Saccharomyces cerevisiae S288C: one gene and its partner. The protein of the gene in region 2 interacts with the protein of the main gene of each other region in a biochemical or structural test. Each region holds a gene or a part of one and is shown on either strand. Other genes may lie near its edges.

The links. Proteins that work in one complex are often made in the same cells at the same time.
Region 1: the proteins of MEC1 (region 2) and DPB11 form a complex in vitro, tested with the Saccharomyces cerevisiae proteins (3 studies listed by BioGRID, with this or other methods).

What each region holds. Positions count from the first base shown.
Region 1 is NC_001142.9:262,257-266,769, forward strand, and holds DPB11 (protein kinase activating protein DPB11), read right to left. Parts: upstream 2,796-4,513; coding exon 501-2,795; downstream 1-500. Other genes in the region: GWT1 (glucosaminyl-phosphotidylinositol O-acyltransferase), read right to left, coding at 1-296; SIP4 (Sip4p), read left to right, coding at 3,670-4,513. UniProt on the Saccharomyces cerevisiae protein: Has a role in the initiation of DNA replication. Required at S-phase checkpoint. Required for the association of PSF1 with origins. Also required for the proper activation of RAD53 in response to DNA damage and replication blocks.
Region 2 is NC_001134.8:502,372-513,434, reverse strand, and holds MEC1 (protein kinase MEC1), read right to left. Parts: upstream 7,768-11,063; coding exon 661-7,767; downstream 1-660. Other genes in the region: YBR137W (uncharacterized protein), read right to left, coding at 1-391; cyclin-dependent protein kinase regulatory subunit CKS1, read right to left, coding at 8,129-8,581; HSL7 (protein arginine N-methyltransferase), read left to right, coding at 9,148-11,063. UniProt on the Saccharomyces cerevisiae protein: Serine/threonine protein kinase which activates checkpoint signaling upon genotoxic stresses such as ionizing radiation (IR), ultraviolet light (UV), or DNA replication stalling, thereby acting as a DNA damage sensor.

The DNA of each region.
Region 1 (4,513 bases), on a different chromosome or scaffold from region 2:
CTAGTAAATTTTCCATATATGAATGCGAGCAAACAAGGTAACAGTATTAGCGTGTTTAGAAGGTATGGTTCACTAGCATAAATAGTAATAGATAGAAGCAAAGCAACCCAGTTCAATGCAAAATCAATTATGTATTGCACGCTGGAAATGCCAGGAGGCATAAGGTTGGAATTTTTCAATAAGTTCCATGATATGTAAGTTACCAAAGCAATTGATGTCACTGCGTTAATTTCTGTTATAGAACCGCCATTGAGCCCTGTCACAAAGTCCTCTTTTCTCTGTTTTAAAGTCGACATATTCTTCTGATGTACTGTTGCCATTTATTTAGATATTTACGTGTCTTCTTATTGCGATCCTCTTTTTCTCATGCTGTTTTTTCACGCGAGCATGTCATGGAAAGTATTATCATACAAAACGGTAATACATATAGATGAGTAGATTTGAATAATGCTGTAGATGGCGTATGTAAATGAATATCTTATAAAATTACGGACTACATTTCAAGAATCTAATTCCTTTGTCTGATTTCTTGTCTGTCGTCTCATAGGTTTTTCTAAAGAGGCAGTACGTTTCTTATCTTGAATGGAGCCATAGGTAACTTGAGTATGTGAAACTTCCTCAGTTCTTGGGATCTCTTCTGGATTAGAAATTGCAGTCGGCTGCTCTGTAGGCACATTTTCTGACATTATTGTGCCCCAACTCGTGGTTCGTTTAATTTGTTTAGGAACGAAATTTTTTGGCAGTGACTCCAACTTGATCCTTTTCGTATCCGGCATTTGTCTCTCTGAAGAAACATCCATGATACTCGATGAGACACTACGCTTTTTTCTTCCAGAATCAGTTTCTCTAATTTTCTGCAATAATTCGTTTTTGGTATCTTTCATAGAGTGCTCCGATAATGAGGAATTGTTTCTTTTCAAAAGAATAGTTTTGTCGATTTTTGGATCATTGTTTTGGTACTTTTTTTCTGAACTAATGCTGGTATAGTATGGTTTTTTTATCTTACATTTAAAATCGTCCTTGTGTCCTCTTGGGCAGATAATACACCACTTGATATTGTTTAAAAAGATTTCATTATTTTCTCCAGATGCAGCGGACAATAATTTAAAAATAAATGCTGGAGTAACTACCGGTATGGAGTGGAATTTCTTGATATATTCAATTTTCCTTTTCATCGAATTTCTCAAGATTGAATTATTTTGAAAATCTTTTCTGTTATTATCACCAGGATCATCATTATTGTTATTAATGCAAAACTGAGTAAAAAGATCGCTAAATTCATTCGACCATAACGGATGGGTTTTCGGGATACTGGGTAAAGCTGCTAAGTTGATTAGCAGAATGTCAGTGGATTTATTGAGGTATTCTACATAATTGATGCCCATTGGTTTTAGAAGATTTAATACTTTAGTCAGATGTAACAGCTCTACGCCAGAGAATCCAGTGATAGTAACATTCAGAAAAGGGGAAGAAGAAAATTCATGATGCAATAACTTTGAAGAAGACGAAACTTGAAACTCTATTGTGCTGAGGAAGGGTTTTGACCATAAATCTATTGGGTGTAGTAATTTTTGATAATACAAGCAGCGTTCAATGAAAAATTCTGTAACTATACCATCATTATCATCTATAATCTCAGGTAAATCATTGAAGGAGTCAAGAGCTTTATTACTTGGAATGATGTAATAAGAATGATCGTAAATGCCGCTCAAGTAAGACGTCTCAATTTTACCCCCATTTTGAACAACAATTTTGGTTAGTATTGAACGGTGATTGCCAGGAAAAATATGATGAATGATAAACGCACAATTTTTGAAAATCAAAGTACTATTATCACTTAAATCTTCTTGTTTGTTATTTATCGATAATGGTGACTGCCCTAGTACTGAAAAATTTGTCTTACTATGCTGCTGTAGAGACATTGCCTTGTCCCATATTTTTTCACCCTTTGGTTTAAATTTATTCAAGAGGGATGATGTTTTCGGGAGCGAAGGAGTCAGGGTACTGGAGGATTGCTGCCGCTGCAGAGAGGATTGGGCATCGATATTGGTTGGAAAGGTGGTGTTTATTTTATCCCAGCAATCGCAAGAGTTTGATCCGATTGAATCATAGGGCAGGTCTTTAATATTTGGTAAAAGATAATAGGGATCGTACGGTAACAGTGCGCTTCTTTTTTGGCAATCGAGAATCCATTTGAAATGTACAATAGGTATATTTTGTTCAATAGCAGCGTTAACTCTTGCTCCTAGTAAAGTATCCGTAACAAAAATGGATATCTGCCCATTCTGACCTTGATCATCGTCATCATTGTGTGAAGAGGTATCTTTGATTACAAAGTTTTGATAGTTATAACTAGAACACCCTAACTTTTTAATACTCCTAACCAATGAATCGATGGAAGTTATGTTAGTGTCGGTTATTCTGCCAATGAAGATATTGAAGTTATGCAAATATTTAAACGAAAATCGCCGGTAAAGTATCTTCAGCATCTCATAGGTGGATCCTGTCATTGTTGCCGTATTAGAGTCCGGCAATATATTTTCTCCAGACAGCCAGAGCTGATAAATGTCATCAATGGCTTGAATGTCAATAAATATGATATCGAATCTATGCTTCACCGCAAATTTAAATTTGTTTGTATTGGTGGTGGACCCAACAACAAGGACATTAACTTGTCTGGTCAAATCTTTAGAAAATATACCTCCTAACTTAATAATTTTCTTTGATATTTTTTTAGCTAAGATTTCATTATTTATTGCAGTCGGACAAAATGTTATTCCTTGAAAGGGCTTCATAGTAATATTAATGCTACTGATAAAATACCTGCCATACTAGAAATAGAAGACTTATATATCACGTAAAATTTGTCTCTTCTTATTCATCATGTACATAAAACAGTACAAACATTACCAATAGTACTATATAGCTTTACCAGGCAATACGCGAATAGTCCATGCAGTTTTTCTTCTCTTATACTGATGAGGGTAAGTTTTGCATTTGATCACCGCCGTATGCGAAGCGGAAAGAGCAAATGCGTTGAAAGAAACCTGGCGACAATAGGAACCACGAGTTCAAGCTAATAATGATACCTCAATGATTATGCCCAGATTACGTTATGTGACTAAAGTAGAAAGGTGAATAAATATAAGTAACGAAACAAGGTTACATGGACTCTTCAATTAAAGAAGGAAAAGGAAGGATTCTTTTGCAGGCAGAAAACATTGAAGTTATATCGCAACAATAACGATGTAGTTATTATGACCTCATAATATGAGAACTTTTTCCTCAAGTATTTTTAAGTTATTCTGTGTGTCATGACTCTCACTTCGTCATATTTTATGTTAGTGCACAAAATGCGAGGTGTGGGTGCAATCAAGACTCCGATCCATTTTCGCCGTTCGACCGGTGTTTTGGCGGCTAAATTTAAGGGCGTGATCTCAGAACTCGGCGGCAAAAAAAAAAGTATATAAGGCAGAAAGCTTTCTGCCTCTCCGATTTCCTCTCCTTTGTTTTCTTTTCCGCTTCAATTTACAATCTAGTTCAGCGGCTAATCCTCTTTACCATTGTTTTCCGTTTATCCTTTGCTCATTCTCCTTTGCTCGATTTCTTTTGCTCGTTTTTTTTTTTTTTTTTTGCTTCTTTTTTTCTTCTCGCTACTCTGAATAGACGATGGCCAAGAGGAAATATGGCAGGTCTTATTCCCTCGATGATACAGATTCCTGCAGCAATAAAGTCCTGATAGTACCAACCGGTCAAAGCTCCTCTAACGCAATCACTGATTTCTCTGTCAGAAAGGCGCATGCTTGCGATAGATGCAGACTGAAAAAAATCAAGTGTGACGGTTTAAAACCGAACTGTTCAAACTGTGCGAAAATTGACTTCCCTTGCAAAACCTCGGATAAACTGTCGAGGAGAGGTCTTCCAAAGGGGTATACAGAACTACTAGAAAAAGAGGTCGTCCGTTTGACAAATATGAATGCGAGTTCCAGCGCCAATGCAAATTCTAATTTGCCGTTCATTAATGATACATTTTATTGTTTTGATAATTACAACACTCAGTCTGAAAATCAAAGGTTTTTGGGACATTTGACATGGAATATTCTAACTAATACTTTTCCTACTCAAAAAGCAGTAGTTTTTACAGACGATCGAAATAATATTGATCTACAACTGCAACTGTTAACAAATTTTTTGAACCTGAATGGTGACTTTAATCATCTCCCAAATTTTCTTTTACTTAAATATGATTATAACCTTCAGTTTTTGAAAAATTTGTTGTCTGTCATTATTAAAGATTTTTTTAAAAGGCAAAATTCTTTGCTACTTCTATTATACCCTACAAATTTATGGAAAAATTTGCTATTAGACAAGATTAATTCAACCGCAATGACAGGTGAACCCATAACTCTACTGGCGTTACTTTATATTATTCAATTTACTTGGTCTTGTTTTGATGATTTCAAGCTTTTTAAAGTCACGAAGCTTATTGTTTCTCTGACAACAAACAGCAAAT
Region 2 (11,063 bases):
CACCTCCATGGAAAGCGTATTCTTTTGAGTCCACAAAAAACTTTTCCTCCGGTGTTTTGTCACCTTTCTTGCAGCCCATATAGAAACTTGAATGACCAAATCGAAGCGCTGTCTTCTTCTTTCTCTGGATCCAAAAATCATTGTCCAATGCACTGCCACCGTAGGTCACTGTGCGAAACAAGCAATGCCCATTTGGTAAGGAGATATCAATTGCAACTGGTTTTTCGGGGAAATTTTCTTTAACTGCATTTCTTATGTAAGTCCCCAAATCAAAGGCATCTTGATATGTAAAAGTAGACAAAAAGCATCGTTTTTCCATATCTTCGAGCTCTTCTAAGGGAACCTTACGAGAAGTCAATCTTTCCAATAACTTCTTGTCTAAAACCACCATAATAATTTTCTCCGTAGACTTTTTTTGAATAATTTGCTCTTATAATAAGGCTTGATTAGGTTGTTTCTCTTTTGAAATGCGAGATAGTCCTTAATATTATTACGTACGTATATGTTATGTTAACTTATATGGTGTCAACATCCCTGTTAAGAGAGATAGTATGACATGAAGCGGGGATAAGTATCTATTAACTCCGCCGGAGAAAAGCACCTGCAGTGATGGTTAGATCAAGAGGAAGTTCGTCTGTTGCCGAAAATGGTGGAAAGTCGTTACCAAAATGGAAGCCAACCAATATACATCTTGCTTAGATTGTCTTCTGATGTTGCTTCTTGGATCAATGTTTCTGTTTGGCCAGCAACACTCAATACCAGGCCATCCTGCGGATCTATACCGCGGATTTTGTTTCTTAAGACCTTTAGCGCTTTTTGAATTGAGTGGTCCATGTTTCTATCGTACATAATTGTTTCGATCACATTCATCAACGCTACTTCATTTTTTCTCATTAAAGCCAACGTGACTTCACTAGACTTCTTAAATGTTCCTTCTGTCCCAATTATGCCCAACGCATCCAATAAATTTGGTGTTAGTCTGAAGGGAACAATTTCTGGGACAGGTAACCTTTTGCCTTTCTCAAATAAACAGTCGAAGTCTACATGAAGAACTTTACCCGTCTGTATATCTAGTAATATGTTTTCACAGTGCCTATCACCTAGACCTAATATATGGCCAACCATTGCCATGACGGCGTAAGATCTGGCATACGTATTCCTGGCGTTGAACCAATTGATTGGATCAGGAAAGTTTTCTAAAAACCATTGGTACAAGATTGGAGGAAATTTATCTACCTGTTCCATGTAAAACTCGAGTTTTCCATCTACTGCGGTGTGCTGCCACCTATCATGTAGACTTTTCAGGCTATACTTAATTTTCAGACTTTCGTACTTTGTAGAAAGAATAGATCTTAAAGTTACAACATTCGGTACCATTTCCAATATCCCACAGTCTTCTCGAAGAGATAGTACGGAGTAAATATTTATGCCCAGGCTTCTTTTTCTTGAAGCTATGTCCTTACTCAGAAGAAAATCCATTGTTGTGGCGAACTGCATATATTGGTTATCTTGTCGGACATCTTCCTTCTTACACATGATCCCATAAATGTTGCCATCTGAACCTATTATGTTCAATTGTTTTGGCTTCTTTAATGAAGAAAACACTTTATAAGATGATCCGAATCTAATTATAGAAACAACCGGCCTAAATGGTTGATAGCCCCTCATTGAGTTAGACTCTAGTGGTGAAATGATGTCTAAATTTTTTCTTACTGGAACAACCATTGCAGATGGGGCCACGTTCATGTCAAATTTGAAGTCTTTTTCTAAAGATTTGCCTGATCTACTTGTAATGCTTTTGACATCTTGCAAACAGACACGAGTTAATGCTTTCGTTAAATCCAATGCACTAGAAACTAGATCATGAGGATTTTGCGAATGTTGTCTATACTTTTCTAAAATATGCTTACCACGAAGAACTCTTTTTGAAGAATTGGAATTTACAAGGGCTGTGATATACCATAAAATATGAGAGGGGTATTCAACAGCCAAACTTAGCAGTATGTGCATTATTATCTGGGCCGATGATTGATGAGAATGTAATAACCTAGATAACAACTGAGTCAAAACAAAGTACCAAATATAAGTGGGACAATGCTGCAGCGCTTCTTCAACATGACTACATATATCTTCCGTAGCCTTACTCAGCATTTCCTTTCTGTTTCCAGGAGCTTCAGAAATTGATGCGGCCGCAATATCTAGCCAAAACGTGATAACTTTGGGCAAATTTTCTCTTACTTTAGCAGTGTTCTTTTCAAATGCCAATAAAAAGTAAGATATTGCCCTGTACTCAAAACGACCATTAGTAATATAACCCTCTGCTTTTTTGCGCTCAAGTAGTCTACTATAGTATAAGCCAATAGAGTAATATGGTTTATCCCATTTAGAATCAATCTGAAAAATATCCTGATATTGTTTAATAATTTGTTCGGACGCTGAATTGTTCGAAAGGTCTAACCATTCAGTAAACTTTAATAGCACGGCGGCACGATCGCGAGCATTAACCGAGGAATTTTCTTGATACTTTTCATGTATTTCTTGCACTATCTTTAAGGCTCTATCATTCTCACCTTGCTTCCATAGTATTTCAGCAAACTCCAACTCTGCCTGAGGCAACCGCCTTTCCAAACAATGCATTAATGATTCGGAGGCTATATCTAGCCTAGCGTTGTTTCTCGCCAATTGGGCTAAAGTGAAGAATGTTTTTCCTAAGTCAGCGTCTGCTTGTTCATTCATTTTCAATTGGTCAAATGACTTTCTCATTGACAATATGTAATGATTTGGCACGAAGTCAGCCCCAATACGTTCCATTCGATAATCGAGTATGGTAGTGTTACTTTTGTATTCAAACTTATCTTTCGCAGAAGATAAAAAACTGAGGTCATATAAACTGTGTAATTTCATCAATAAATTCTGTTTCTTTAGCAGCGTCGTCTCTTTAGATGACGTTATAAAATTTGTTCCGATAAGCCTAAAGGAATTGTGGATGTATTTTTGAGTCCTTAATGGATCCTCGTTTGAGATGGCAATTAAAGCTTTCGCAATATTGTACTGCAAAAGTACTTCTCTATCGTCAATATTTCTTAAACTCTCTATTTGTTCTACCCAATTTTTCAAAGTTTGAACATTGCCTTCTAGATTTGCAGCTTCAAGACCTATGCTGTACCATTCCTTCACATCTGGAGACAAAGAAATTTTTCCGTCTGAAGAATGGAACGAAGAGTTCGATATTATTTGAGAATACAATTGGTGGTCATACATAGACTTTAGCATCCTGGTTGTAGTTTTGGGGTCATCTGAAAATTTGCCGAGGACATTAAAGCAGTCTTGTGCGAGTTTCCAGTTTTCAGAATATTGCAATTCTTCAATTTTAGAAACCAAGTTTCCTGTAGCAAAGGTTCTCAGTACACCATCGAGTGAGTCAATGTCTCCTATTTCTTCGTATGTGATTTGTAAATTTTTCAGTAGTTGTCCATTTTGGTTCTTATCGTGAGGATTCTGTCGATAGCACTGTTCAAGGTATAGAGCAGACCTTTCAAAAGAATCCGTCTCTAAGGAGCGTTGAGCTAGCAAATCTGAAGGGGTTGTTCGCAAAAACTCATCTATTCTCAAAAGCATGTTAGTTGTTTTCGTATCTTTAATGATAAAAGTGCCGTGTAGTTTACTGTAATTTTGTTTAAACTCAGTTGCCCATTTTTTGCAATATTCGAAAACTCTGAAGATGGATTCATAGCACATTCTTAACGAATCCACTTGCAAGTTATTCATTCCTTCCAGATTGCACGTGAAAATGCTGTCAAATTCAATAATAATCCCGTTTAAAATATCAGCGTATGGAGTTCCTTTTTCTGCCTTGATAATAATGTCCAGAGAAATATAAGGTAGCAAAAAATTTGATAGTGAGCCATCATCTTCCCTAATCAAAGAGGAAAACACGTGTAATGGATGATTTTCTGTTGTACCTGTTTTCAATAAATCCAATGTAAACCTTTTCACCCAAATTTTGTATCCTTCCTTGAAGTTATTAGAAGGATATTTTAGCGGGACATATTCTTTCCATGATTGCGCAAGATACAAGGAAGATAAAAGCGGATAGATGGTTGTCTTGGAGACAGAGTTAAACTTTTCCCATAGTTTGGCTTCATTTGGATATAATTCTTTATGGTTCATATCCCATGACTCTGAACTTAGCCCGCAATATTTTAATGATTCCTGTATGACAAGGGCAACAAACAATTGCTTGCTGGGATTCTCACTTTGCCAAAACGCAGGAACGAGGATATCATTTATGACCCATATCAAGAACTTAATAGTTTGAACACTATCATTCAAATCATAAACTTCGTTTTCTGAATATGTTGTTCTTTTAAACTCATGCTTTGTAACGTCTAAAACACCAATCATACTGATACATTTGGCGCACTTCTCGCATAGGTCCTTGTCTAAATTTCTAAACTTATGAGAAGTGTCTAATAAAGCACCCAAAACTAATGTTATATCAGAAGTTTGCCCAACCTTCTTTGGTGTAAAATCAATCGATCTTTCTGTCTGCTTTCTCCGAAGATATACCTCTATATCGTCTAAATTTTGGTTTATGACATACTTGTTACTACTTTTCAAGTTATTAGCAAATATGGGTATAAGGTCCGTGGTACTTCTTATTTTATTCACCATTCTTGCAAATTGGCCATCACGAGCTAAAATACCTAATTCAGGCTTGCCTACTAAAGCCAAAGTAGTGTAAGGTTTTAATTTCAAAATCAGGTCCGATTTCTCTTTGATTAAGGTATCCAGTATACTGTACACTATATTTCGAAGTTTTCCGTTGAACTCAGACCACTTTTGAAGTATGAATGCAATTAAGCTATCTATAACAGTAGAGAGTTCTTCATCATTTAGATGGCGAACTAACAGATGCCAACATCTAAAGGCCTCGTATCGAACTTCCTTAAGCCCAAGTCCTGTTTGCAAACAAATACTAATCTGGGCTAATGCGGAAATTATTGATTTTTTGGGGGCATATATGATAAGAAAAGAAATGCCATTGATAACCCTTAACTTTTCGTAGTAAGTGGTGCGGCCTTCAACATCATGTATGTCACTCGAAAAAACTTGGAAAATACCTAAGATATTATCCTGTAGTTTCTTTTGGAACGCTTGTTCCTGATCATCCGTCCAGTTATTGATATTTTTGTACTTCGAACCATGCCTTTTGTCTTTTTCAAAATTGGTGATTAAAAATCGCAAAGAGCATAAAATCATATTAGCATTCTCGCTGTCACTTGCATCTTTAGTAACGCTGTTTTTGTAGAGCTTCGTTATTTCAGCTAAAGTTTTATAATCGGGAAGGTATGCAGTTATATATCCTTTGTCAAAAGTTGGAGCCCTATTTAAAAAAAGGGTTTCCAAGATATCCAAAGAAAATAATCCGTGTTTTACCAAAGCTACGGCAAATATTTGCCTACTGTTTTTTTTCAGTAAATTAACCTTCATTTGGTTAATTAAACTTGTATCGCCATCACACATAATCTTAGCAATTTCACTTAGCACATCGCTCTTATATTGAATAATTGCATAAGGGATGATATATCTCTGGAAAATATCGAGAATTGTTTTTGAAGAATATCCCAATAATTCTATTAAATTTTGAAAGCCAACTTTTCTTTCCACGAGGTTTTTTCCCAACTGTCTTAGTAATACAGGTAAAATAGGCGATAGTAATTGATATGGTGTTTTCTTTAAAATTTTGGCCATATTTTTAATTTGCAAAGTCATCATTATTCGTAAACTATAATCATCAGAATTGAAAATATCAATCAGTTTCAAAAGTAGTGTATCAAATACATCATTAGAAGTCGTCAATGTTAATTGTGTCCAAGCAATGACTAAATTTTCTTTCACCACTGGCAATTTTTGAGATTGTAGAAACTTTATCAGCGTGGCAGTGTGTTCATCTTCGGAATTATGAGAGTCTGATATATTGAATAAAGGTATAATTCTAGTACTTAATAAACGTAGGTATCTGTTAGAATTCATAAAGCACTTTTGTACCAGTTTAAAGCTCTTATTGATTTGACCGTTTCCATCTGTAAGTTTTGGAGGTTGAAAGTGTGAAAATATCCTATGTAGAGAAAATAAGATGCCACTTAACAAAGATTCGCTAAATTCATCTATATTTGGGTGAGATAGAAAGTTTGAATGAAGTATCCTGAAGATTTCTGATTTACCCGCAGCCTCTGGTCTATTTGGATTTATTCGCACGAAAGGGTTGCCAGTTTTCTCAATATCGCATAAATGACAAACATACCAATTATCCATATCCTTTGTGGAATTTGGCAGAGTGCCGGAAAACTTCTCTGATTCTAGACAGGCTAGACGTCCGAGAATTACAGTCCATGATGTTAGCCTTGTTATATTGTTTGTCTTGAAACAAGTTTGAATGGATACAGATGCTTCATTTAAAATTAGCTTGAAATCGTTTCCAGCTCTTTGAAAAAATCCAGGACTTAGCTGGTTCACGCGGTATTTGAGCAAAGTTCCTCTTTCTGTCTTGTTAAACTTCTTTAGTACTAGCAACCTTAGCTTTTCCAGCTGCTTATATCGATCATCAAAGGGAGAAGTGACATTTTTCAAGCTCGAGTCCGGCTCCGATTGGTATACCCAGATGTTGAACTTATTATCGTACTTTAAAGCTTCAACAGGTAGGGACCTTCTTTTCAAATCAAAATATACAATCGAGAGAGCTTTATTAGTCAACTGCGTGAACGGAAAATGTTCACTTTGTGAAAAATCTGCCCACTGGTCAATTGGGAAGTGGTCTACAAAGCATTTTGAGAAATCGTTAGAAATGCAAAGAGAATATAGTCGAAGAATTCCTTTGGCCATAGTGGGGTCATTATCCAAGAGCCCATACTTGTTATCCAAAAAATGATGCATAGTAGTCAATACAAACTTTAATTGTTCACAACAAACTAACGCTGGGGCATCCAGGGCTGTGGAAATTGTTCTATTGCAAACATAGTCCACAACTAGAGAAATATATTTGAGTTGGATTTCGGCATATTCTAGTGCTGCTAGTTCGCAGGAATCAAAGACGTAAAGAACAATCCTGATTAATCGTTGGAAGTTAAAGTCAAATTTCGTGAACCCCAAAGAAGAATCTAAGAATGCTATAGAGTTCCCAAAAGTACTATACTCCGAAGTGAACCAGTATAAAAGAATGTATAGACCCTTCAAGGTGTCATAAAATTTGAGAAGCTCAGTCTTGCCCAACAAGACTTCAGTCAAGGCCTGTTCGTAAAGATTCATGGTGTTCTCAAAATGTGCAGTAAGCTGAAACTTAGCAGGTTTTCCGTAAAATTCGACACATGCTTTGCACCAGCTGCCTAATTTTCGCCTCATAAACCATATTCTGTGGTAATTATCATAGTTCAGAACGGATATGTTGAGGAAATCATCTATCAGCCTTTGTATCTCAAAGTTCCCGTTGGAATCCTTCATAACAAGCAAGAAGGGGTTGTACTCCAACAATAAGGCAAGGGCGGAAACTGTTTTCGAAAATATAGTATCATTTTTCATGATATTGTTCCTTCTTTGATCTTTTAGGTTTCTTATGAGGGTGTTCAGGATCTTTAAACTCTTGGCGTACTCCTGAGAAGAAGATGGATCCGTGGGCACTTTTTTAATCTGCACCTTTGAATCCACCCCCGAGTTCAGGTCTTTTATTGCCAATATCAATTCGTCAAGATATTTGACGTGTGATTCCATGCAGTCTTGTGGGCCTTTACGCGGTGTATGTCGTTCTTGTTGTCCAGCCTCACTTTGTCTTCATTAATCATCTCTCTTCAAAATTGTCCGTCGGCGGGTATTTTTTTCTAGTTGACTAGTTTTGGAGCGTGCGTTCCATCTATTTGATTTATAAGGGAAAGAAGAAATTTATTTGAAGGATATTCACTATATAAATTTTATTTGTATTCTAATGCTTGTTGGTGAAAACTATGATCCATAGTTTTTTTTTTTTTTGTTTGCTTGTTTGTTTATTCTTTATTATGATAAGTACATAGTATGCTCCATATAGTTATGGAGCCTTGAAAAGGAATTCAATTTCAGTAATTAGAGTATATCAAAGCTAGGAGATTTGGGGTGGAACTTGCATATCGTTCGAAATCGATTGTGTTTGATGTTGCTGTTGTTGTTGTTGCTGCTGTTGCTGCTGTTGCTGTTGCTGTTGAGCAGCAGCGGTCGCTGCCCTCAGCTCGGCCTCGTAGTTCAGCGGCCTTTTGAATAGCAAAATGTGTGGTTCTGGCGCATGGCATTCATAATGTTCCCACCCCAAAGACTGTGTGATGCCGAGGCCTCTCCATTCGTCTTCTGTTAATATACGCAGGGTCCCCACTTCCGAATTGAAGTAATCAGATGGGATAACTTTTAGCATGGCCTTAGGTAACATCACATGCCTGTACTCATAGTTATCGTCTGAGTACCGCGGAGAATAGTGAATGGAATCTTGAAACTCCAACACGCGTGCTCTTTCTTGGTCAGTAAGCTTTCTGCCTTGGAAGGCGTGATAGTGATGGTACATAGTACTGTAAGACGAGAGTAAGTGCGTGTCAATCTAGTTGTATCCAACGCGGCCAGCAGTTCCAAGAACTTACGACAGAGTTGTAATGAATGCTACTGATGTCTGCTCTACTGCCATCCGCTGTCCTTTCATGCATAAAAGCTCCATTCTTTATTTATCTCATACCACGAGAAAAAAAAATCACCTGACATATTTTTATAACCCGCCTTTTAGACCCTAAAACAGATCTCAGGGCTCGAGTACTGTTTTATCTGAAAATTCTTCGAGCCCTCGTTTTGCACTGAGCTAAACCAAAAGAAAAATAAACAATCACAAATGGAACCCGAAACAGCACGCTGCGCAGTGTTTTTATATTTTTTTGAAACAAATGGCTTTATACAATGTGTATGTGTGATAGAAAAAATGGTATATTTCGAGTGACTTGTGATCCTATTCCCAAGCCCTATAGGAGCTATTTCAAATTGCGTGTGTGAAAGCGTGTGTGTGTGTGTGTGTGTGGAATTGTGCGGACGTTCCTCTTCTTTTATACATATAATTTTTATATATACAAAGGGTTCAGTTTGCATATGCATAGCAACGTATTTGTTGGTGTCAAACCAGGCTTTAATCATAAACAGCACAGCAAAAAGTCACGTTTCCTAGAAAATGTCTCTAGTCATTCACCAGAACTGCCTAGTAACTATGATTACGTTTTGCTTCCTATAACAACGCCAAGATATAAGGAAATAGTTGGGCAAGTTTTCAAAGATTTCCAAAGACAATCCATACAGAACTGGAAACCGCTTCAAATTCCTGAACCGCAGTTGCAGGATATCTGTATACCCCCGTTCAACGTCAAGAAGCTAGACAATGACGATACGCCGTCTTACATAGGGCTGTTATCCTCTTGGCTGGAGCTGGAGAGTCGCGATCCAAATGTAAGAGATCTTGGCTTAAAGGTCCTTCTAAACGAATGTAAGTACGCGAGGTTTGTTGGAATCAATAAGCTAATATTGGCGCCTCCACGGGACCTGTCCAACCTGCAATTGTATGGACAGATGATTTACAGGCTCCTGCAAAATCGCATCGTCTTTGCTGCGCCTGCGTTAACCATATCCATTTCTCTGCCACTTTACGAAGACAGCGATCCATTGGCCACTTGGGAACTGTGGAATACCGTGCGGAAACAATGCGAATATCATCCCTCTTTGACTATCTCTTTGGCTTTGCCAAGAACCAGGACTCCTTCGTATGTGCTGAATAGATGGTTAGCCGAACCCGTCTCGTGTCTTTTGGTATCTTCATCCATCTTTGCCAGTAATCAGTACGATTATCCCGTTTTACACAAGTTTAACCAGAATTTGATTTTAAAGTTCCAAAAGGTTAATGGAGATTCACAAATTTTGGGTAATGAATTATGCGTGATATTGCATGGGATGGAGAAATATGCCAATAATGTTAAGGGCGGAGAATCTGCCTATTTGGAATATATAAACTACTTATTGAAAAAGGGCGACAAAGTATTAAATTCCAATAGTAATCACCAATTTTTGCTCCAAGAGGACTCTCGGATAATGCCGCCTCTGAAACCTCATTCAGATAATTTATTAAATTCCACATATTTGACTTTTGAAAAAGATTTGGTGAAGTACGATCTTTACGAATCTGCCATATTAGAGGCGCTTCAAGATCTTGCTCCTCGAGCGAGTGCCAAGAGACCGTTGGTGATCCTAGTAGCCGGTGCGGGAAGAGGACCTTTAGTGGATCGAACTTTTAAGATAATATCAATGTTGTTTATGGATAGTAAGGTTTCTATAATTGCCATTGAAAAAAATCCACAGGCATATCTGTACTTGCAAAAAAGAAATTTCGACTGTTGGGATAATAGAGTGAAATTAATCAAGGAGGATATGACCAAATGGCAAATCAACGAGCCGTCGGAAAAGCGTATTCAGATAGATCTGTGCATAAGTGAACTGCTGGGTTCGTTCGGTTGCAATGAATTATCACCAGAATGTCTCTGGTCTATTGAAAAATATCATTCCCACAATGACACAATTTTCATACCGAGGTCATACTCTTCATACATAGCACCCATTTCGTCACCATTATTCTACCAAAAACTCTCACAAACAAATCGCTCTTTGGAGGCGCCCTGGATAGTCCATAGAGTGCCATACTGTATATTATCCTCAAGGGTAAATGAAGTGTGGCGGTTCGAGCATCCCATGGCCCAAAAAGATACTGTCCAAGACGAAGATGATTTTACAGTTGAATTTTCTCAAAGTTCATTAAATGAGTTCAAGATAAAGCACCGCGGCGAAATCCATGGCTTTATCGGATTCTTCTCGGCAAACTTATATAACAATATATTCTTGTCAACTTTGCCCAATGACAGCACAGTCCGTTTAAAATTTAGCGAAGAAACGTTGATGAATACCAGACGAGAAGAAAATCTAATCAAGAAATGTGACCATACACCAAATATGACCTCGTGGTCTCC